Linked DNA regions of Yarrowia lipolytica. The protein of the gene in region 2 purifies or fractionates together with the protein of the main gene of each other region. This does not show direct contact. Links are inferred from orthologs where the notes say so. Each region holds a gene or a part of one and is shown on either strand. Other genes may lie near its edges.

Evidence for each region. Proteins that work in one complex are often made in the same cells at the same time.
Region 1: the proteins of YALI1_C31971g (region 2) and YALI1_D32002g purify together in Saccharomyces cerevisiae (affinity purification with mass spectrometry; 3 studies listed by BioGRID, with this or other methods). This does not show direct contact. The link is inferred for Yarrowia lipolytica from reciprocal best matches to the Saccharomyces cerevisiae genes XRN1 and CDC33.

The regions. Positions count from the first base shown.
Region 1 is NC_090773.1:3,195,029-3,202,871, reverse strand, and holds YALI1_D32002g (uncharacterized protein), read left to right. Parts: upstream 1-2,761; coding exon 2,762-3,529; downstream 3,530-7,843. Other genes in the region: YALI1_D32024g (uncharacterized protein), read right to left, coding at 310-492; YALI1_D32013g (uncharacterized protein), read right to left, coding at 520-1,626; YALI1_D31981g (uncharacterized protein), read right to left, coding at 3,558-3,659, 4,677-4,799; YALI1_D31948g (uncharacterized protein), read right to left, coding at 6,839-7,843. UniProt on the Saccharomyces cerevisiae protein: Recognizes and binds the 7-methylguanosine (m7G)-containing mRNA cap during an early step in the initiation of protein synthesis and facilitates ribosome binding by inducing the unwinding of the mRNAs secondary structures.
Region 2 is NC_090772.1:3,188,607-3,202,218, forward strand, and holds YALI1_C31971g (uncharacterized protein), read right to left. Parts: upstream 8,867-13,612; coding exon 8,784-8,866; intron 8,506-8,783; coding exon 4,008-8,505; downstream 1-4,007. Other genes in the region: YALI1_C31888g (uncharacterized protein), read right to left, coding at 1-290; YALI1_C31900g (uncharacterized protein), read left to right, coding at 1,427-2,203; YALI1_C31918g (uncharacterized protein), read right to left, coding at 2,438-3,265; YALI1_C31989g (uncharacterized protein), read left to right, coding at 10,295-11,815; YALI1_C32010g (uncharacterized protein), read left to right, coding at 12,410-13,198; YALI1_C32031g (uncharacterized protein), read right to left, coding at 13,608-13,612. UniProt on the Saccharomyces cerevisiae protein: Multifunctional protein that exhibits several independent functions at different levels of the cellular processes. 5'-3' exonuclease component of the nonsense-mediated mRNA decay (NMD) which is a highly conserved mRNA degradation pathway, an RNA surveillance system whose role is to identify and rid cells of mRNA with premature termination codons and thus prevents accumulation of potentially harmful truncated proteins.

The sequences.
Region 1 (7,843 bases), on a different chromosome or scaffold from region 2:
CAGCAACAACCTCCCCAATATGAATCACGTGACTAAAAATCGGTACCATTGCGTAGCCCTTGTTCAGGGATTTACAACAGTCAACTCTGGGGCCAGATCGGGTGCATTTTCAGTTGAAAAAGTTGAATTTGTTTTTTTTTTATTATTTTTTTTATCAAAAAGTGACAACTACCTCAATATGGGTCACGTGACAATAAGAAATATGGAACCATCCGAATTCCAATTCTAGACCGAAATCTGAGCAGTTTTTTTCCCAGTCTACAACTGTCAATATGATGTCATCATGACTTTTCTGCAAAAATTACTTACGTAAAAACATAATTCAACACTGCACCGTCTTGGTGAGTCAGTGAGTCGATGAGTCACATGACCACATGACCACAAAAAAGGTGGGATCTCCCAGACTGTCTCTATTCTAGGCCACTTTGAATCTCTTGTCTTTTTTTGGTATCTTTCTTCTATTCCATCATCGATTTTTAACTGGAATTCCATAGTTAATAGAAGATATATTGGTCAACGTTAGTGCAGATGCTCTTCCTTCTCCTTTTCGTGAGACTCAATCGGGACCACATATTTTCGGATAAACATAACGAGCTTCTCCCAGTACTCGGGTTGGACAATGGTATCATTGTGGGTTCCGTTAGCAAAGTACTCGACGACCTTGACGTCGGCCGGACACATGCCAATGAGTCCCTTCATGTGTGGAGGCGGCACTATTTCGTCTCGGAGCCCCGACAGGAACATTGTGGGGATTTGCGGGTTGATGAGGGGCATCAGTTTCTCCGACTCCCATTTCTGGTGGCAGAGTCGGGCAAAAGGCGCCGCGAACGGAAGCACGTACCCAATGAGCTTGGGGATGCTCAGAAAGGTGTTTTCAAGAATCAGACCCTTGATGATGGAGCCCTCGGAGCCGCCAAACTGCGACGCCATGTAAATGGCCACTGCGCCGCCCAGAGAGCGCCCATACAGCACCAGAGAGGTGTTTTTGATTTGCGGATGGGTCTGCAGATAGTTGTACAGCGCCCGGGCGTCCGTCTTGATGCCCACTTCGCTGGCCGTGCCTGTACTCAAGCCATATCCTCGGTACGAAAAAATCACCGCATTGTAGCCCATCTGTTGGTAGAACAGCCGCACAATGGGCAGAGCATGCCCCATGTTCCCGGCATTGGGACACAGGAGAAGAACCGTCTTGGGCACATAGTTGGGCTCCGACTCGTCGTGCAGAACCACAAACGCCTTGATCTTCTCGCCGTCGGCAGTCTCAATCGTCACATCTTTGTATGACGGCATGCCCTGAGAATCGGGCGTGTCCACGTGTGTTCGAGACCCGGCGGGGAAATTTGACGGATAGATGAGCTTGGACTGGAAAATGTACAGCCCAGCAGCCACAAACGCCGTGATGGCGGCACCCAGCCCAAACAGATAAAAGGCGTACCGCTGGATGGAAGAGGTCATCAGGGGGCGCAGAAGACGAGATGTGCGGTCACGTGACACAGCAGAGAGTCGATGGCGGGGTTTGGGGGTCGACAGCTTGCCAATTGGGTCAAAAGTCCGCCGTTGGGTGATGTGTGGAGGTGATGATGGAGATGCCAAGTTACACAAAGTGCGTTGGAGTGCATCTTTCATGTGCGAACGGGGCTAGGGGTGTCTAATTTTGGAAACTTTCCAATTGGGAATCAGGGTTAGGTGAAGTTCCCATTTCTTACTTCCAATGAGAAAAGACAGGAAGAGGCTGGGTTAGGGTCCCCTCCCAATCGATGGCAGGGTTAGGACCCGTCCCTACCCACACTGCCAAATCCAGACAAACGCTAAAAGGAGGTTAGGTGACACTTTCAGTTCAGCAGGGGGGTTACCCGGCACTGCAGGACCCAAAATTCCTCTTGCACAATTCATCCACCACAAACGAGCTCTGTCTTGATCGCACAACAGTACTTGATTGGAAAGTGAGTATGTCGCAAGGGGGTGAAGTCACGTGACAAGCGATCACGTGGTGCGCGCGATGCCATGTGGCGTTTTTTTTGCCCGGATCGGCCCCGATTTGGCGGTGTTACACAGATGGATACACAGTCGCACAGACAGGAAAAAGTGGTAGCACACTCAGACATGAGGGGTTGGAGATGGTAGAGAAGAGATAGGGGGAGGACTCGGCGATGTGATTTCGATGGTGGCGTTGATGATACTGTGAATGTGGCGACGATGTTGTGGATGTGGTGACGAGACTGTTGATGTGATGGGGAAGACGCTGTTGATGTGGTGGGACGACACTACTAAAGTGGTGGGACGACACTGCGGATGTGGCATGTCGCGTGCACTCATCGATGGTGTGTAAGGTGAGCAGTATATGTCTCTTCGACACGTTTCGCTTCCCTGCGGTGCCTGTCTCTGTCTTCAGTCTAAGTCTACCGTCTACACATGTTTGCTGTTACTGTTGCTGCAGTTCTGCTGATGTCCATCTCCTCCCTCTCGTTCTGTGCAAGTGTGCCATCAATGAGCTGTCCTTATGGCCATGACTACTAAATATCGACCTGTCTGCTCGTCTGTCGGTCGAAAATCTGTCTCCATCAAGGGCACAATCACCATGTCTACAATGGCAATCCAGACGGATGTCTCAGTGATTTCTACAGATATCGCCTTGCAATTGTCCCAGTCTGTGATTCCTCCAGTGCCTATGTTGTTCAGCATAGACTTAGACGTATCACGTATCTTACATCGCCATAAACCAGCTTCTCGCTCACAACTGCCGATTCCGTACTAACCCAGAATGGCCGCTACTACTGACAACGTGACTGAAGCTGTCGCCAACCTCAACATCAAGGAGGAGGCCCCCGTTGCTTCCGAGCCTGCCGAGGTGACCGAGACAGTCGAGGAGGAGGTGACCCCCGCGGAGCCCTTCAGCACCGTGTTCGACTCCAAGACTGAGTTTGCCACCGTCCACAAGCTGACCACCCCCTGGACTCTGTGGTACATCAAGCCCCCTTCCCCCGCGGTTGCCTGGCACGATCTGATCAAGGAGGTGGTGTCGTTCGACACCGTTGAGGGCTTCTGGGCGGTGTACAACAACATCCCCAAGCTGGTGGAGCTACCCATCCGGTCGGACTATGCATTTTTCAGAAAGGGCATCCGGCCCGAGTGGGAGTGTGACTCCAACAAGGCCGGCGGCAAGTGGTTCTACCAGTTCAAGCCCAAGTCTGCCAACGAGTTTGACGAGATTTGGCTCCACACGGTGCTGTCTGTGATTGGCGAGAGCCTCGAGACCGACGAGGAGATTGCCAAGCACGAGGGCAAGTACAACAACGTGGACGGCTCGGCCTCCAACGTGAACGGCATTTTTGTCAACATCCGAAAGGCCGGTGTGCGGTTCAACGTCTGGACCAAGACCTCCGAGGTGACCGACGAGCTGCGCCAGATGGGCGTCAAGATCAAGCAGGTGCTGCGTCTGCCCGAGAAGGAGGAGGTCCAGTTCCAGTCCCATGAGGAGTCGGCCTCCAAGAACGTCAAGTCGCAGGGCAAGACCAGACTGGCGGTTTAGCTGGAGTGAGAGATGAAAAAGGTGAGACCTAAGTTATTGAGAGGCGGGCTGCATTATAGTAATGTATGGCCAACGAAGGCCGCGAGAGAGCAGCATCACGAGCATCCTTAACATCACAAGCAAGAGCGATCTGAATGCGAATGATTGCGAGTTATGCGAGAGTGAAAGCAGCTGTAGAAAAGTGTGGAGTAGAAAAGTGTGGAGTAGAAAAGTGTGGAGTAGAAAAGTGTGGAGTAGAAAAGTGTGGAGTAGAAAAGTGTGGAGTAGAAAAGTGTGTTAGTTGTAGCACGTAACGTGACCTGCCGATTAGAGCGTTGGGGATACGATCCAACTATTGTGGAAAAAATTAGTTGAAGTTTCTCATGAGAAAAAAGGTCAAAGATAACGTCTCCTTTAGTCAAAGGAGACCAGATAGAGACAGTTTGAACGAGGGAAATGAATCATGACGAAACGAATGGGGTTCAATTCTTCAATTCCGACTTGTATTCGCAGAGTAGTGTTGGTTTGATGTTATGTATTTCTCTCAACAAAATCCAAGTAATTTTTTTTGTTTTTTTTTGGAGAATGTTCGATATCGTGTATATGAATTCACGAGGGTGGATTATGTTTAAACCAAGTGAATTCTGGGGTCTGTAGCTACAGTAGGATATATTATATGTTTCTTCAGAAGATCTGGAGGGCCGTGTAGGGACATCCAGTGAAAATTTTGTCAACTAAAGTCTAACTAAATAGTGGCAAGCAAACATAGAAGTCCTGGGAAACACAGAGCGTAATGAAGCAGTGGTAAAAGGATTAGAGGATGTTGTTCTAAGCTGAGGTGTATATAGGGTATGTATTGTGGATATTATTACTGGTCACGTGTCTCTGGAACGTCTATACAAGAGTCTAGTAATAATCAGATAGTTGACTGAGAGATGGGTGGGAGATGGGTAATATTGGTAGGGACTGGAAAAAGTTCACGTGATAGCAGTGAATTTGGGGGGGGGTCAGGAAATCGTCTTTTGGGACATCATATATATTTCAATTAGTTTTTGTGCCGTGTTTTCTGAATTTTTTTTTGTTCTCTGGTATGGGGTGTTTTAATACCGGCGCTTGAATCTGTCAGAAAGGCCATGAGTTGATAACTTGAATTGGAGAGTGTTTTAACGGGATAAAAGGAAAAGAAATCAAAGTGCTGGTCTCTAAATGTCTGGTTTTTGGCTGAGAAATGTGTTTTTTTGAAAGCAGGTTTAGGATCAAAGAAACTGCTCCAGAATTTGTTCCAGGACATCTGACGATATGGAAACAAATGAAATAGAATATTTCGAGTCCAAGAAACCCAATGGTAAAGTCCCCATAAATCTAGCATTTCTGCAGCGGTATATAAATGCGTCTTTAAAAGTTGGACATAGTCCGTATGTGCTGCAGATGGTTTTGCCATAACTCGATAATGCGTCAATCAGTGGACTTTGCGAGTTGAAAAGAAGATATAATGGGATCATAGGAATACTGAAATCGACTCTGTTTGTCTATATTCGATTTTTGGGGTCCAAGAGCGTCAATTCCAGATGGAGTAATGGTGGAAATTAAAGGTGAATTTTCTGCTGCTGGAACAGAGATTGGAATTTGGTTGTATTGAAAATATTGCTATAAAGGAATCAATAAGTAGGATGAACAAAATCCCACGTCGATGACATCAAAATTGGTCAATTTGGAGCGGTTTGGAAATGGTCGCAAATGTCAATAGTACAGTGCATACTGTACTAGATGTGACTGGTCAAATGCACTGTACTATGACCTTTGACCGGTCAGATTGGACTGTAAAAACTCTGATTATTTTCTCTAGAGTGCCCATTTCTGCTCTCTTCTTCTTACTCATCACTTGTTGCGTCCGGTAGCCCCTGTCGCAACAAAACAATACGAATGACACAGGAGTGACACAAAGAGTGACACAAAGAGTGACGCAAAAACACATTTTTTTTGGGGGCTGAAACAGTCCGTCATTGACACAACCACCCCTCTCCCAGCTCTCCTCTCCCAGCTGCTAACACAAATCTCCGACAGATCACATTACACAGACACTGTTCTTCAGCAGATTGATTACCGCTCACTTCATCAACTGTCTCAGGATAAGGCTGTCAGGACAAGCTAAGGATAAATCGCGACCTTCACCTAGTTCAGTGGTGATCAGTCAAACAGACTCGGGATTAGAACCAGACAGACGGTATTGATACACAAAGTGATTCTTGGATGTCACATGACTGCTGTATCACAACTGTCACAATAACCACGATGCCACTCTTCAATACATCCACCCACACAGTATTCCCTTCCCCTACTGTATGTACTGACTGCTACTCGTCCGTCTCGGAACTCCCTCATTCGATGGATACCACCGAGTCCACGGCTTCGACCTCATTCGGCGTGCATTGTCGGACTACTTCATATATGCCACATAGCGCTTTGGATGCGCATTTAGTCACACACACGGAAACACAATCCCATGCCGCGGGCTCCGTACGGTCCCCAACTCACAGTGTCAATTATGGAAGTGAGCAGTCGTTGGGTGGGGCGTGCGATGAAGAGCCAAAGCAGATTATGAGACTTTGACTGAATATCTTCTCCGATATTGAGTCAACTCTTCTCTTCTCACCGACGAGAATCCACGCAATTCCTAGATCATCTCCATGGTGAATGGAACCTGGACAGAGCGACTTGTCGAAACGAAGAGTGAAGTTCGCCCTCGAGCCTGTACCCATCCCTTTGAGGATTCAGGGGTCTCTGGCCAGTTACACCCTGTGCTAGAATTTCGGAGTCTCCAGGCTCTTTCTTCTGCTTCCGTTGTTGAGACTGCAGTATGTACTGTAGGTACCATATGTCCTATACATACTGTACTTGTAATCTTGCTCTGAGATGTGTCTTGACCTGTCAACGGTACGGTAAGAGTCTGCTTGGCTGCGTCCGGTCGGTTGTCGGGCCTTACTACCGCCGCAGTTTAAACTATTGCCGACACTTTTCTCAGAGAGCTGCATCGATGGTACAACGGTGTGTTCAGACAGTCACACCCTCTTCTCAAACATCGACTCCACTTGATGTGACTCGGTTGTCTGACCCTGTTCTGTCCTGGATGAAGTCCGACTCATTCTGACTTCAACCCATCTCCAAAGCACTCGTTTCTCCCCCGAGTCACAGCCCTACATTACAGTGGTACACACCTACGCCATCTAACCATCTATTCAAATCTAACAAATTCTAGCTATGATACATTTCCGCGTGAGCACAGGTAGTTCCGGACGAACCCTTGACGTAATTAGACCAGAGACTCAGGGTCTACCGATTGTAGAGCTGCACCAGTTCCTCCCAACCGAGGGCACTGGGCCCCTGCTCCTCCCCCTCCACCCCGTCCAATCTCTCCAGATCCACCTCCATCCCGGCCAGCCCCATCATCTGCCGGTAGACCCTCTCCGCGGGGAACTGCGGGCCCATCTCGGTGGCAATGCGCCTCCACCTCCCTGCCCAGTCACGGGCCACAACGCTCTTCAGCTTGTCGGTCTCCTGCTTGGTCCACTTGCCCGTCAACCGACATAGGGTCCGCAGATATCGCATCTGTACGGCCTGCCAGCTGTGCCGGTACCGTATCATAAGCGCAGACTCCTTCCACGTGAGGCCTTCAATCTCCTTGAGATACATAATGAGTCTGTCGTCGCAGGGTGTCCAGCGCACTGGACGCTTGGTGGTGGAGAGAGCGTTTGCCGTACACAGGCTGCTAATAGCTGCAGCTCTCGGGAGCCCGCTCTTGCGGGACACAAACGCCCAGTCGAACAACGCGTGGTCCATCAACGCGTCGTTGGTCCAAGGTACGTCCTGACGCTTGGAGTGAAGATACGCTTCGGCCAGAGTATGCAGCCGCTCTTCGCACTCCAGAAACCGGTGGTGGAAGGCCGCCTCGGAGGTGATGCAGGTCCGTGTGAGCTGCAAAGAGGACGAGGAAGGCGAGTGACGTTGTGAGAACCGAGTTTTGCCAATGGGACGAGCAACAGCACGACCCTGGGAGGATCCTCGGGTTCGAACAAGAGCGCGGGGCTCGGAGGTTGACTCCAACTTATCGTTCACATGGTTTTCACGTGACCCCGGCTTTGTCACCTTTGCCTTCAGCCTCGTCTGGCCCTTCTTCGCCCTGACTGGCCGTTCGTTGAGGACAAACGAATCTTCCTGTTTCAGCATGGACTCATCAACAGAAGTGCACATAGTTGAGTCGAAGCTCACGTCGTTGGCGACATCGCTTGCGGTAACATCACTGGCAGTGCTCTCGCCGAGATCCATCTCCCACTCGGC
Region 2 (13,612 bases):
AGAGTCTCGTTACCCATCTTGGCCATAATGGAGGGTCCGCCAATGTCGGGAACCTGCTGGGCGGCCTCATTCTTGGCCTTGATGTTCTCCGATGACGTGTCATCCTTCACAATGTTGACCTTTTCCGGCGCCGCAGCTTTTTTCGAGCCAGGTTGGACCCGTGTGATTCGATCTTCCACCATGGACACAGCCGCTCGTCCAGGCACATGGTCCGATCGCAGGGATACCAGGGTGATTATGACAAGCGTCAGTATGAGTGCTATGAAAGTAGCCGACGATCTTCGAATCATTGTGTCGAGATTGATGGAGTTGTGTAGATGGAATGTTCACTCTGATGGCGCGTGTTTTCTGCAGTTTCCGAAAATAGACTCTCTGCGATAACGTATGATTTATGGCAGGTGTAAAAGGAAGCAATGTGGAGTGATACGAAGCAATGAGTAGGTTAGATGAACTACTACATAGGTTATCCGTAGAGAAACTATATATATGATGATATAATAACGTGTTGTTTCGGTGCCCATGTTTCCAATCACCTCTGTGGTGCTTTTCACTATGTGCATTTTACTTGTACTGTCAGCCGGGGTTCGAAAATGGAATGTCCATGGTGGGCGACAACAAACCACTTGTACTTGTACAATGTACCTTATACAAGTATGATGTAGCCCAGGAATGGGTATTGTCTGCTATTGATGTGTACTAGCTAATATAGGTCAAAAATTACATGACCACTCAATAAGACACTGCTACAGTTTATAATAAAAATTCTACTACAGTACATACATACTCATACAATCTACTGACCCACCTCTAAATCAACCTCCTATGGTGATTCTTGCCTTCATTCTTCAACGTGCGTGCATGACTACAGCTACGTACATACTGCAGTTTGCGACGGACACTGTCAGAGCTCTCTCTGGGGGCGGCAAAAACTCGAAAGTTAGGCGACCACGTGTATGGTGATGCAGTCATAAAAATGCCCAAATGGCTACAATCAGAAGCTGTTTGGGAATTGAAAATGCTGACCTTTACTGTTATTTAGTACCGTCGCAATATGTTTTTCACAGTGTAGCTACTCTACAGGTATCGTACAGTACATACAGTACTTGTAGTTGTAGGTGCTCACTATAGTGCTTTTCCAAGATGACAGTCATGGCATGTCTCACGCAGAGTCATACGTTGTTGTGTTACATGCAACGGGGTATTACGTAAGTGCATTCACCGTAAGTCTCTATTGATAGTTATAAGTTGTTCTATACGAGTTAGATTACTTGTAGTGACTTCCAATACTGTCCTTAGGCGGATGTCGTGGTCTCCTGATCTCTCAGGTTATGACTAATTCCTGCATGAACGCATCAACGTGCCTTAATATTCGATAAGTAAAGCCTAAGACCGCGAACCCTGCAACGCTCACCATACTCCGTACAACATGCCGTCCATTTCAGAAAAAGGGTGGACTGTGACTGCCGAGAAGCGGCCGATTCTCAATGCTGCAGAAATCGACGCGGCCGAAGCCCGTCTTGGAATCCCAGTGCCCGAAATGATCTTCGGCAACAACATCATTAAAATCGAACATGAAGCGTCAGGTTGGAGCATCAATTTCGACGCTATCAACGCCCTGGATCTCGTGGACAAGACAGGTGAGCCCACCGGACTGGTGGTGGCCCACTCCAAACATTGGCTGGCAACGCGAGAAGAGACGGCGGAGGAAGAGATTCAGATTATCAACAAACCATTCGACTGGACTTACTCGCCAAAGTACCTGGGAGACGTGCAACAGGGCAAGTGTGAGGCTGAATGGAAGCCATGCCCGGAGCCATTACCGCTGGACAAGCTGACTCTACCGGATCCCATCCTCTTCTTTGACGATATGGTGCTTTATGAAGACGAGCTGGCAGACAACGGAAGTGCGGTTCTGTCAGTCAAGATCAGAGTCATGCCCAAACGACTGCTGCTGCTCAGTCGCTTCTTTCTGAGAGTAGACGGCGTCAAGTTCCGAATCAGAGACACACGAGTGTACATTGAGTTCGAGGAGGGCCTGGTGGTCAGAGAGTACCAGACTCAGGAGGAGGACTACGACAAGGTCAAGAAGCGGGTGCGAGGAGCAATCAACGGCGACTACGGTCAGTTCCTCAGAGATATCAACTGGGTCAGCAAAAACATGCCCACTAATGAGATTGAGAGACAAAAGATGATTGTGAGTTGACCAAACGAAGAGCATGGGAATGCTGACCAACGAAAGAGCAAGTATATATGTGAATAGTTACGACGTAATGATAATGAATTGGGTGAGACGAAGCTTGTGTTACAGCTTGGTACAGTATATATAATGGCTAACTGTTGCTTGTCACCAAGACAGAAGGCTATACTATATTATTGTAGCAAAGTCACGTACAGTATCACGTATTATCTTGGCAAGTGTCATTGATATCTATATAGATTAGATCTGAGAATAAACGTAAGGACCAGGCTTCTGCTCAACCTGAACATCGACCTTGGCCTCGAGCTCCTTTCCATCAACAGAGATACCGGCGGTCATTCGATCTCCAGGGTTAACAGGACCCACTCCCTTGGGGGTTCCAGTGAGAATAATATCACCGGGCTGAAGAGTCATGATGCTGCTCATGGTGGACAGAATCTGGGGCAGCTTGAAGATCATCAGGTTGGTGTTATCGGACTGTTTAGTTTGTCCGTTGATTTCAAGGTGAAGATGCACGTTGTGAGGATCGGGGATCTGGCTCTTGGGAATGAAGTTGGAGATGGGCAGGAAGGTATCGAACCCCTTGCCAATTGACCAGGGCAGACCCTTCTTCTTCGCCTCGTCCTGCACGTTTCGAGCAGTCATGTCAACAGCCAGAGCGTAGCCATCAATGGCGTCAATGGCGTCCTGCTCAGTGAAAGTCTTGGGGTTGAGGTTCTTGAGCTCCTTGCCGAGAATTGCAGCCAGCTCTACCTCGTAGTGCACAACAGTTCCCGAGGGCACGAGCATGGGACCCTCGTTGGGGAGCAGGATGGAAGACGAGGGCTTGAGGAAGAAGAAGGGCTTGGAGGGAGCCGTGTTATTGAGCTCCTTGATGTGCTCGACGTAGTTTCGGCCAATGCACAGGATTTTTCGGGCCTGCTGGGCAAATCGGGTAGCCATGCTGTTAGTGTGGTTGGTGATGAACAAGTCGGAATGACTGATCCGTCCGACCTGAAATGTTAAGTTTGGGAGTCTGGGGTGCAGAGCGGCTGATGACAGTGAACAAACCGCCGGAGTTCCGAACATCGCTTCTTGTTTGCTGGCGAGTCACGTGATTCCAAATCCACAATTGACAGGGCCTTGTATTTTTTTGTTAGATTGTGTCTTGAAGAGATGAGAATGTGGTTAGTTGCGTACATGCCACACACGATACAACTTCTCCGAGTTGGTCCATAAAGGTTTCAGTTTTCACTAATTACTGTACATCCTGTGTACTTAGTAATGAGAAATCTTTAGTATGGACATAACAGCGTTGAGTTCGGAGGTGCCATTATGATCTAGATTACTATGTAAGTGACAATAAAATCAATACAGTCTTCAGACGAATCATGAGATTACAATGATAGGCAAAAGTGTATCACTTGTAAGACAAATAATACCTGCTACACATGTTGGTTTGCTCCAGGGTGGTGCAGTACGCGATAATGAACCATATACTGTACTAAAAGCTGCTGTAATTGAGCTGCGAGAATAGAAAGAAATGCTCAAAAAATATGAAAAACAATAACAAAAAAAAACAAAAACAAAACAACAAACAGTACCGCCGCGACTAGGTACACGATATCAAAAAATTATCATCACTTGCCACATACAATACAAGTGCAAGTAGTACCAGTATGTACTCGTAATTACTGGAGGGCCACATTCACAACAAAACTCAAATACTGTATCACTGGTACATCTACGCAACAAAATTATCAATCAATATATCCAATTTCCATTATTATACAACCATTCATGCCAAGTTTAGACACGTCAGTCCGTTCTACTAAGGCCGGGGAGTCACCTGGGGAATCCGAGGGTTGTTGGCATCCTGCTGTCCGCCCTGACCTTGTCCACCTCGACCACGTCCTCCACGTCCACGTCCTCCACGTCCTCGACCCCGTCCTCCTCGTCCTCGGCCTCCTTCATTGGCAAGTCCGGTGGCAGGCTGCTGAGAGTTATCAGAAACCTGCAGGGCAGCCATCAACTGTGCAGAGAGGTCTTCATTGCCCTGAGGAGTTCCCTGAGGAGCGCCCTGCTGGTGCTGCTGGTTCTGAGGGCCAGGTCCCTGAGGATAACCCTGACCAGGGTAGAAAGGCTGGGGAGGGTAATATCCGGGAGGGAAGTGTCCTTGAGGGAGGTAGCCCTGGGGGGGAAATCCCTGGGTAGGGAATCCGGGAGGGGGAGGGGGTACAAATCCACCCTGGGGGCCTCCGTAGTGCATAGGAGGGCCCTGCTGCTGGTGCTGAGAAGGTCCCTGGGGCTGAGGGTTGGAGTACTGGTTCAGCACGTTGCCCAGGACCTGCTTCTTGGCGTCAGCAGAAGTCTTGGACTTGAGAGAGTCCAAAAGAGCCTCGCTCTGTTTCTTCAGCTCCTCCTCGGTCTTGGGAGCGGGAGCAGGAGGGACAGTAGCAGACTCTGATACAGCAGCGGTAGCAGCAGCCACAGCAGTGGGGACCTCACCTAAAGTAGAGGTCTCAGCAACAGGAGCAGCGTCTCTGGGTCGCTGAAGAATCTTGACACCAGGAGAGGGCTGCTTGGGCTTGGGCACTGCAGAAGCGGCAGGAGAACCCTGTCGGCCGTTGTTTCGGCCCCGGGCGTTGTTGGTCTTGCCGTTGGTCTGCTGGCCATTAGCCTTGCCACCTCGGTTGCCGCCCTTGGGTCGGTACATCATCTGCCGGTTGGTCAGGTTGATGACGGTGTTGGCAGCGACGTTGAGACCTCGGTTGGTGGAAGCTCGGCCCTGGAAGTTGTTGCCACCGACAAACTCGTCATCAAACAGCACATCCAGCCGAACATCCACGCCAACGGCCTTGATACCGATCACGGTACCCTGAGAAAAGATGGCAGCCTTTCCAGAGTCCTGGACATACACAACCCGGTCCCCCAGATCGAATCGCTGGCCACGAAGCTGGTGGAAGGCCTCATCAGGTCGAAGAACAGCCTGACGAGGAGTACCCTTCACAACGGAGGGGATAAACCGCACAGCATCAGGGTCAGCAGCGTTCTTGACGAGATAGTTCTCAAGAACAGAGATGGACTTGACCGATAGAGACTGAGTGTCAATATCCACAGAAGTCAGTCGGGAGGCGTTCTCCTTGAGCCATCGCCGAGCAGATTCAAGCATCTTGTTGACCTCAGCAGGTTCGCCTTTGACCAGAGCAGAAATGTCAGGCACGCCCTTGTCTCGGTTGGAACCAATACCCTCGACCAGCTTGGGGAAGGTGTTGTAGTAGCTCTTGACCAGAGCAATGGCATCCTGGGTGTACTCCCAGCCCTGCTGAGTTCGCCGGGTGTAGCCAAGCACCTTTTCTCGCTTGCCCTCATTTCGCAGGTTGAGACCTACGTCAATCTTAGAGTCTCCCTTCTGAATCAGACACTTGGAGCAGATTCGACCGAGGAGAGACGACTGGATACCGGCCATCTTGGCGGCCTGATACGAGGGGTAGTACTTGGTGGTAGCGTACTCTGTTCGAGCAATCTTTTTACCCACATCCGCAAGCACAACAGCGGGAGAGTTGGGTGCAGACTTCTTGACCTGGAGATCCATCTTGGTGTTGCCAATGTGGTTGACAACCTGGGCCTCAGCACCATAGCAGAAGTCGGACATGAGAATGACACGCGACTCGAGAGGGAACTCGGCAGCGATAGGCTGAGCAGCTCGCTCCTTGTACCGCTCATCCTCGTTGACCACCTTCTCAACAATAGTCTGAACAGGGAAAGAACCAGTGGCTCCAGTAAAGTCCTTGACAAGAGATCCATCGTCTCCCTTCTTCATACCAGCCAGGAAACGGACATGAAGAACGACAAAGATGTTACCGCTCTTGATACCCTGCTTCTTGATGTAGTCGTTCTTGATCTTTCGGGATCCGGTGGCCCACTCCTTGGCCATGGTGTCGGAATGGGGAGATTTGTTGACCTTGCCGTTCTCAAAGGTGTAAGAGAACAGCTCGTCTGAAACAGCAATCACCTTGGCCTCTCGCAGGTAAGGATAGTTGACGTAGATGGACTGGTCCATCAACTCTCGAGCAATGGATTCGGGAGATCGGTTCTTGTAGGAGTTGATGATGTTGAGCACCAGAGTGTTGTTTCGCGAATCCTGCTGGAAGATTCGAACACCAGCAGCCTCAATGTCGTAGGTGTAAGGAAGGGTCTTGAGAGAGGGGAATCCGGACAACATGTCCTTGCCCCACTTGGAGCCATCCTTCTTGCCGATGACCACGTCCAAACCGTCCATGGAAGGCAAGTCAAATTTCTCAACCACACAATGACAGTGCTCCAAGTTCTGGAAGACACCGGGCATAGAAGACGGGTAGACATAATCCTGCTGGGGCGAGTATTTGAATAACAAGTTGTTGCCAAATGCGTTTCGCTTGTTCTCTCCAGCAGTAAGACCAGTCTCCTTCGTAGCCATAGCTGTCAGAAGACGCGACTCGTCCACAAATGGGATCTTGACCACTGCCTCCCAATCGGCCTTCTTTCCGTTCTTGTCCAGCTCAAAGTCGTTAGGGTAGAAGTCATAGATGGGCGAGTTGGAGTCGGCCATCAGGGGCCAGTAAGCTTGAGGAAGGAGCTTCTTGGATCTCTCAGGCAGCACACCCATGAGCTGCTGGAAGGGCTTGAAGGGCTGGCCAGCCTTGAACTTGAGATTGGCCTGCAGACCCTTACGCACATCAGAAACTCGAGGAGCATAGTGGTAGCCATAGTACCAAGACCACGAGGGTACGCCGTCGTAGTAGTAGTGCAGAATCCACTGCAGACCCTCGACGTAGTTTTCGGTCAGAGCCTTGAGCTCGGCTTTGCCCTCGTCGGTGGTAGTCGACCAACCAAACTTCTTTTTATAGTAGTCGTCCTTCCACTCCTCAAACTTCTGATTGTAAATCTCCTCTCGCTGGGCCAGCGCCTCGGCGGTCTTGACAGGAGCAGCCTCGTACCGCTTGAGGGTCTGGGAGTAGCCAATGAAGCGCTGGGTGGCTTCTTCAGGACTCTCCTCGTCTCGGAGGCCATCGTAATCGACGATTAGCATACAAGATGTGGAAGAGTTCTTGAGAAATCGGCAATCGAGGTCCAGAGAGATCTCTTTGACGAGAGATTCACACTCTTCGGAGAGAGTATCAAATACGATCTCGGGCAAATTATCAGGATCGTAGTCCGACTTGGACTTGTTTTTAAGATGGGCATCAACAAAGGGGCGCAGTTTCTGCACAACCAGCTCCTTCTGTTGGGGTGAGAGATAGAGCTTCTCGCCACGCTTGGACTTGTATTTTTGAGTCAACTCCGGAAGATCCTTGTTGATCCAGGCCAGATCAATGGCCTGCTCCTCGAAAATACCAATTTCAAACTTTTCCATCTCAGCCAGGAAGAGATCCAGGCGCTGCAAGTTGATGTTTCCTCGGTCATTGATGTAGCCGTCGGAAATCTTCATTACCTTTTTGTACAACTCTACAAAAAGAGCATGGGAGTCCTCATTGATGTGAATCTGAGGCAAGTTGGGCAAGAAATCGTTTCCGACGAAGAAGAAGAGCAGGATGTAGTCATCCAGAATTCTCTCAAAGTCATAGGGAAACGAAATCTCGTCAGCAAGGTCCTGGAATTCCAGCTCAAGGTACTCTCGCAACAGAGAAATGTGCAGAAGATAAAAGTTCTGCTCCTCCAGAGCCTTGGGACCGGCTCGTCGGGGACCGAAGACAACCTCTTCTCGCAGAAGAGAGAAGTGGGGGTCGTGGGAACCCAGACCCAGCATGATGAGATCGGCATCCAGACCGTACACACAATGACGGGTGTTGGGGTCGTAGTCAGGCTGGGCCTTGTTGATTCGGATGCACTCGTTGATCTTGTGCTCTCCTTCTCCTGGAACCTCGTGACCAGAAAGAACAATGTCAATGTTCTGCCAGTCAGCGTCCTCACTGACCTTTTTGTGCACAAAGTAGTTGAGTTGGGTGGTCAGTTTCTCCATGAACTCGGTTCCGGGAGTAATAGCGTTGGAGTCGAATTGGTCCTCCTTCAGGATGGTGCCCTCCTCCAGAGCCTTGGCCTTGGCCTTTTCGGCGTCGAGGGCAGTTCGGAATCGTCGCGATCGCTGCTGGTTCATCTTGGCTCTCGGTGCGACTCCGTCAATGGCCATAAAGAAGAGTTTCTTGGGCCGAATTTTGGAAAATAGATGCTCAATGTACTCGAAGATGGCGCGGAACATTTGTTCTTCCGTCAGCTGGAACGTCACATCTGCGTCCTTGTGTGTGCACACGTGCAGAATCGAGTTCATATCGAGGTACAGATTGTCATATCTGGGTTAGCACGGAAATGTTGTGATGTGGCTGTGGTGGTAACAGTTTTGTGTGTTATTGTGGGTTTGATCTGGCCTGAATCATGTATCGAAACAACATAGAACATTCGACAAGGGCTTTCAAACGATCCTCCAGTCACAAGGCTCTTGTTATACGTTCCTTCAGGTCGTCTAGTGTCGTGGTTTTGGTCATCAGTATGCTGACCGATCAGACACCCCACAATCACCAAACGGTCGTGTTGCCATCTCCAAAAACACCCTCACTGCTCTCATACTCACTCAGGAATCTGTGTATCAATCACTTGTTGGGAAATCAGCGGCCATCGCTCACTGATGTAGCGGAAAAATTTAGGAATACCCATTGATGGTGTATCTGCTGTTGAAAATCAAATCTTGTGATGTGGTGGGATGTAGGGACAAGACACTTAACTTTAAGGGAAACCAAACGACGATAGAATGCGCATAGTGGCGACTATTGGTGGCGGTAGACAGAGAGAAAGGAAGCCTTTGGAAGCGCAGGTATGACTTATTCCGATAGCCGGATGAGATGAAGTGCATCAGATGAACGACTCCCGGCTTATTGGAACCATATGGAACGCCGTGGATGGCTCGATACTACCTTACCCGGCAGTGATGGATGCCTGTCACGTGTCCTACAGCACAACTGCAACATACTGTATCTATATGGTTTGTAGGCTGCTTCAGAAACGTGCCCTACCCATACGGAGGATATGAATCTTTACAGGGACTTGCCTAACCTGGAACTGAGTTATTTCGGGCGAAAAATAGCCGTACACAAGGTTGCATGAAAGGGTTCATCTCGTATGTATGTATTGTAGATACATTGTACGATGCAGTTATTGTTAGTCAGAACGTTACGAGGATTAGCTGTGGAGTTTAGCTGTGGAATTTGACAAAATGTAATGTAGACACTGCATTAACTAACTTGACTGAGAAGTCAGAGTACGTACAGTACTGTAAGTAGAAATGGCTAGGAGAAGGTGACACGCCCTGTACCACCCACAGAACGAAAGCACACATCTATTTCAGACGACATTTGCCACTATTTTGTCTTTTTTCGATCGCGTTGCCCCTTTTTTGAATTTCGATGAGGTTTCCTGGAAGATGCAGGTCTGACAGTGGAGGGAAAGAGTTTCCGTACTGTGCCGAATGTTCACTGTAGTACCTACTGTATTTCCACAAAGTATGGGACTGAGATGGTTCATAGAAAAAAGTAGAGTATCAGTGTATTTAGTTAGTTTCAGCAAACAAAATTATGGAAAAATCACGCTTATAGGGCTATTATTACGAGAGTTGGATAGATGTCATGCTTTCCGCCGTATTATCACGCGAAAGTTTATCGATCTTGGTTCGACTCACATACGGACAATCATACAGAAAATGCAGCAACCAGAGAGAACTCACGGCAATTGGGAGTGAAGCTGGTGACAGAATAGCTCCCCATTTTCCATCAAAACAGTGAATCACAATGGAATGTTCTAGAGCAACCTAAACGCCGGGTATTTCACACGTCGATTACCGCCAGAATAACGAAGAAGGATACGGGAAAAAAAATACTGTAGGATGAACACTGTACTGTAGTCTTTCCTGGTGCTCCCTCCCAACCAAGCTTCAAATTTGAAATTTCAGAGAGATTGACAAGACTGACCCTGAGTTCGACTCCACGACTTCATGAATTTCAAGATAAGGCGTTTAATCGAAATATGTAATTGATGATAGAAAGGAGGCAGTATTGATTTTTTTTAAAGCAGTACTCATCTAAGTAATCTATGGCCTCCGTTACCTGCTGCTCTGTTGTAGTGTTTACACCATCCATCCGCTTACATCCTCAGCCTTGTTGGCTTAATAAGCAAAATTATCAACAGCATGCAGCAAAACAAACCAAACTTTTAGAGACGCCATCACCACACAGATACATCATGTTCGGCAGCACTGGATTCGGACAGAAGCCCGGAGGCTTTGGCGCCGCCAATACCGGCACGACCGGTAACACTGGTGGCGGGTTTTCGTTCGGCCAGAATAACAATTCCAACTCCACTAACACCAACACTGGCGGAGGATTCGGGTTTGGCCAGAACAACACCAATCAGACCAGCAACACGGGCGGTAACACTGGAGGAGGCTTTTCGTTTGGCCAAAACAACAATGCTGGAGCCTCTAACACCGGAAACACCGGAGGAGGACTTTTTGGAGCCAAGCCTGCTGCCACCACTGGAGGAGGGCTGTTTGGTCAGAACACAAACACTGCCGGTACTACTGGTACTACAGGCACATCTGGAGGTTTCTCTTTCGGCCAGAACAACAACAACACCACTTCGAACACAAGCACAACCGGAGGCGGTCTCTTTGGAGCTAAGCCTGCTGCCCCCTCAGGTGGGGGGCTGTTTGGACAGAACACATCCAATACTGCCAACACCGGAACCACAGGCACCACCGGTGGACTTTTCGGCCAGAACAACAACGCCGCTTCTACTAACACGGGCGGCGGACTGTTTGGTGCAAAACCCGCCACCACTACTACTTCAGGAGGTGGTCTTTTCGGTGCTAAGCCTGCTACTACCGGTACCGGCTTTGGAGGAGGATTTGGACAGAACACAAACACAAACACAAATACTGGAGGACTTGGATTTGGTCAGCAACAGCAACAGCAGCAGCAACAACAGCAACAACAGCAGCAATTGACCGTCACTCCTCTGACCAGACCGTCGGATCTACCGGAACATATGCAGAAGGAGTTTGAACAGATCGACGAATACATTCAGCAGCAGGCCCGAATATGCGATGAGCTGTCCACGAACAAGCTGCAGCATCAGGAGATGATCGAGTCGATCCCCCGAGATGCTGAGCTCATCTCCAGAAAGTACATCACTGCTTACGAGGCTCTGGTGCACGACTCCGAAAACATGAACGAGATCAAGACTCGATCAGACATTGCCGCACAAGAGGCGCAGACGTGTTTCAACCTGCTCAGCTACCTGACCAGTCAGACTCCTGGCCGTCTCAACTCCAACCGACCCGCTGGAGCTCCCAGAGAGAACGGCGATCCTCTGCTCAACTACTTTAAGACAAAGTGTGAGGAGTACGAGAAGCGAATTGAGGAGCTGGCAAAGGTGACGGCCGAGGTGGAGGCTGGTGTTGTGGGACTGGAACAAAGCGGACCTCAGAACCCTTCTGTGGTCATTGACAACTTTACCATTTCGCTGGAGGAGCTATACAAGCTGTTCATGGGTCTTGGAAACCGGGTGGCCGAGTTGCATCATGTTGTCGAGCGGCTTGAGCAGCGGAAGTAACTTTGGAGGTGTAGCTACATGATATGTATATTGAAGGAATACTTGTAATTGTAGTTGATTTGGTGTAACGAGTATTTACTACAAGTATAAACGTTGTAGACAATAATAAGGCTACAAGCAGATGAAGACAAGCAAAGTATCACCCCTTAAGGCGAGAGGCTTTTGGTATGGTCAAGCGACTTTATGGAAGTATTGATTCGAGAACACCCCTGTACATACTGTAAAGCTGTAGCTGCCGCATGTAACATATTGCTCAACTGTTCTAACTAACGTTAAGTAAAGTGACAAACTCAAAGTAAGCAAGAATAGCATTATATTTCTTTATATCTGAGAACTCCGGTAACTTGTTAGATAAGTAATAACAACCAGATCACTTTCATAAATTTTTTGGCGTACGTTTCATATTTCTACCGTATCTGGGACACTATTTGCGCCCTCAGTCAACTTTTCCCTAACTAACTCCCAACTAATTCTCTTTCTGCAGCTTAGTCACGTCACTATAATAAAGTTTCGAGTGCATGGGTTTACGTACGTACAGTACGTTGACCATGATGAACATACAGCGATCACAACTACAACGACATACACACAGCCATGAGTCTAGTGCAATCTGCTGAACGAGCAGAGTATCTGAATCTCAACACGGAGCAGCTGAAGCAATTGCATGAGCAGTCCACGCGGTTTCTGGCCGGCCGACACTACAACCTGTCTGATGACGACCGATATGCCCTCTTTGAACAGCACTTTTATCTCGCTCTGCTGGTCGGTGACTCCAGAGAGGCCGAAATAACATACCAGAAGCTGGCCGACCGGTTCGGCGAAGACACGGGCCGAATCGGCAAGCTCAAGTCGATGCTGATTGACAGACAATTGGGCCCCAAGGATGCTCTGATGTACCTCCAGGGACGTCCCGAAAGCGATCTGCCGTGCTGGAAGGCCCGAATCGCTCTTCTCAGAGACACAGGAGTGGCTGATCTGTACATTTCCGAGCTGGTCAAGTACCTGGAGGTGGTGCCTACCGATCCAGAGGCGTGGTCTGAGCTCGCCGAGGCCTATGCTGCCTGTGAGAAGTGGGGAGACGCCATTTCGGCCGTGGAGGAGGTGCTTCTGTGTGCTCCTCTCGCATACAATATGTTTGCGCGCCTGGGAGAGCTGTATCTTGCAGCAGGGGATGCTGGAGAGGCAATTTCGCACTTTTGCCGAGCGGTGGAACTGTGTCCTGTCTACATTCGGGCATGGTGTGGTATTCTTGTGGCCATCAGCAAGCACAAGAAGGGCAACGACAAGCTCAAGGCTGTAGCCACTAAGCAGCTGGAGAAGCTGATTAAGGAGAAGAAGGGCAGCGAGGGAGATATTGCTGCCGCCAAGCTCATTTTGGCGTAAACGATTAGATTAATGAATTTATTGGATTGACGTGAGGGCGGCTGTTCCTGGGTGAAGGACTTCCTGCTGGCAGCTGCGGTATTGCCTAGCCACAGTATTATATCCACAGCAAAGTACAGTCCAGTAGATGATGTATTCACAGGTATCACACACGAGTGGATCTTCACACAAGTGCACCTGGCCTACAGACAGCATAAAGATGTTCCCCCAACATATATAAATGCACATATACAAATACAATGAGGATCAGCATGTCAAATTATATTAGTATTCACTTAATCATTTCGTATACATTCATTATCTGTCATGTAGCAGTTGTCTGTGTATACACCCCCTTCTGTTCTGTGTATTATGCATCCATTTTTATATCGTCAATCGTATCGTCGTCATCGTCGTCAATATCCCTCCTCTAAT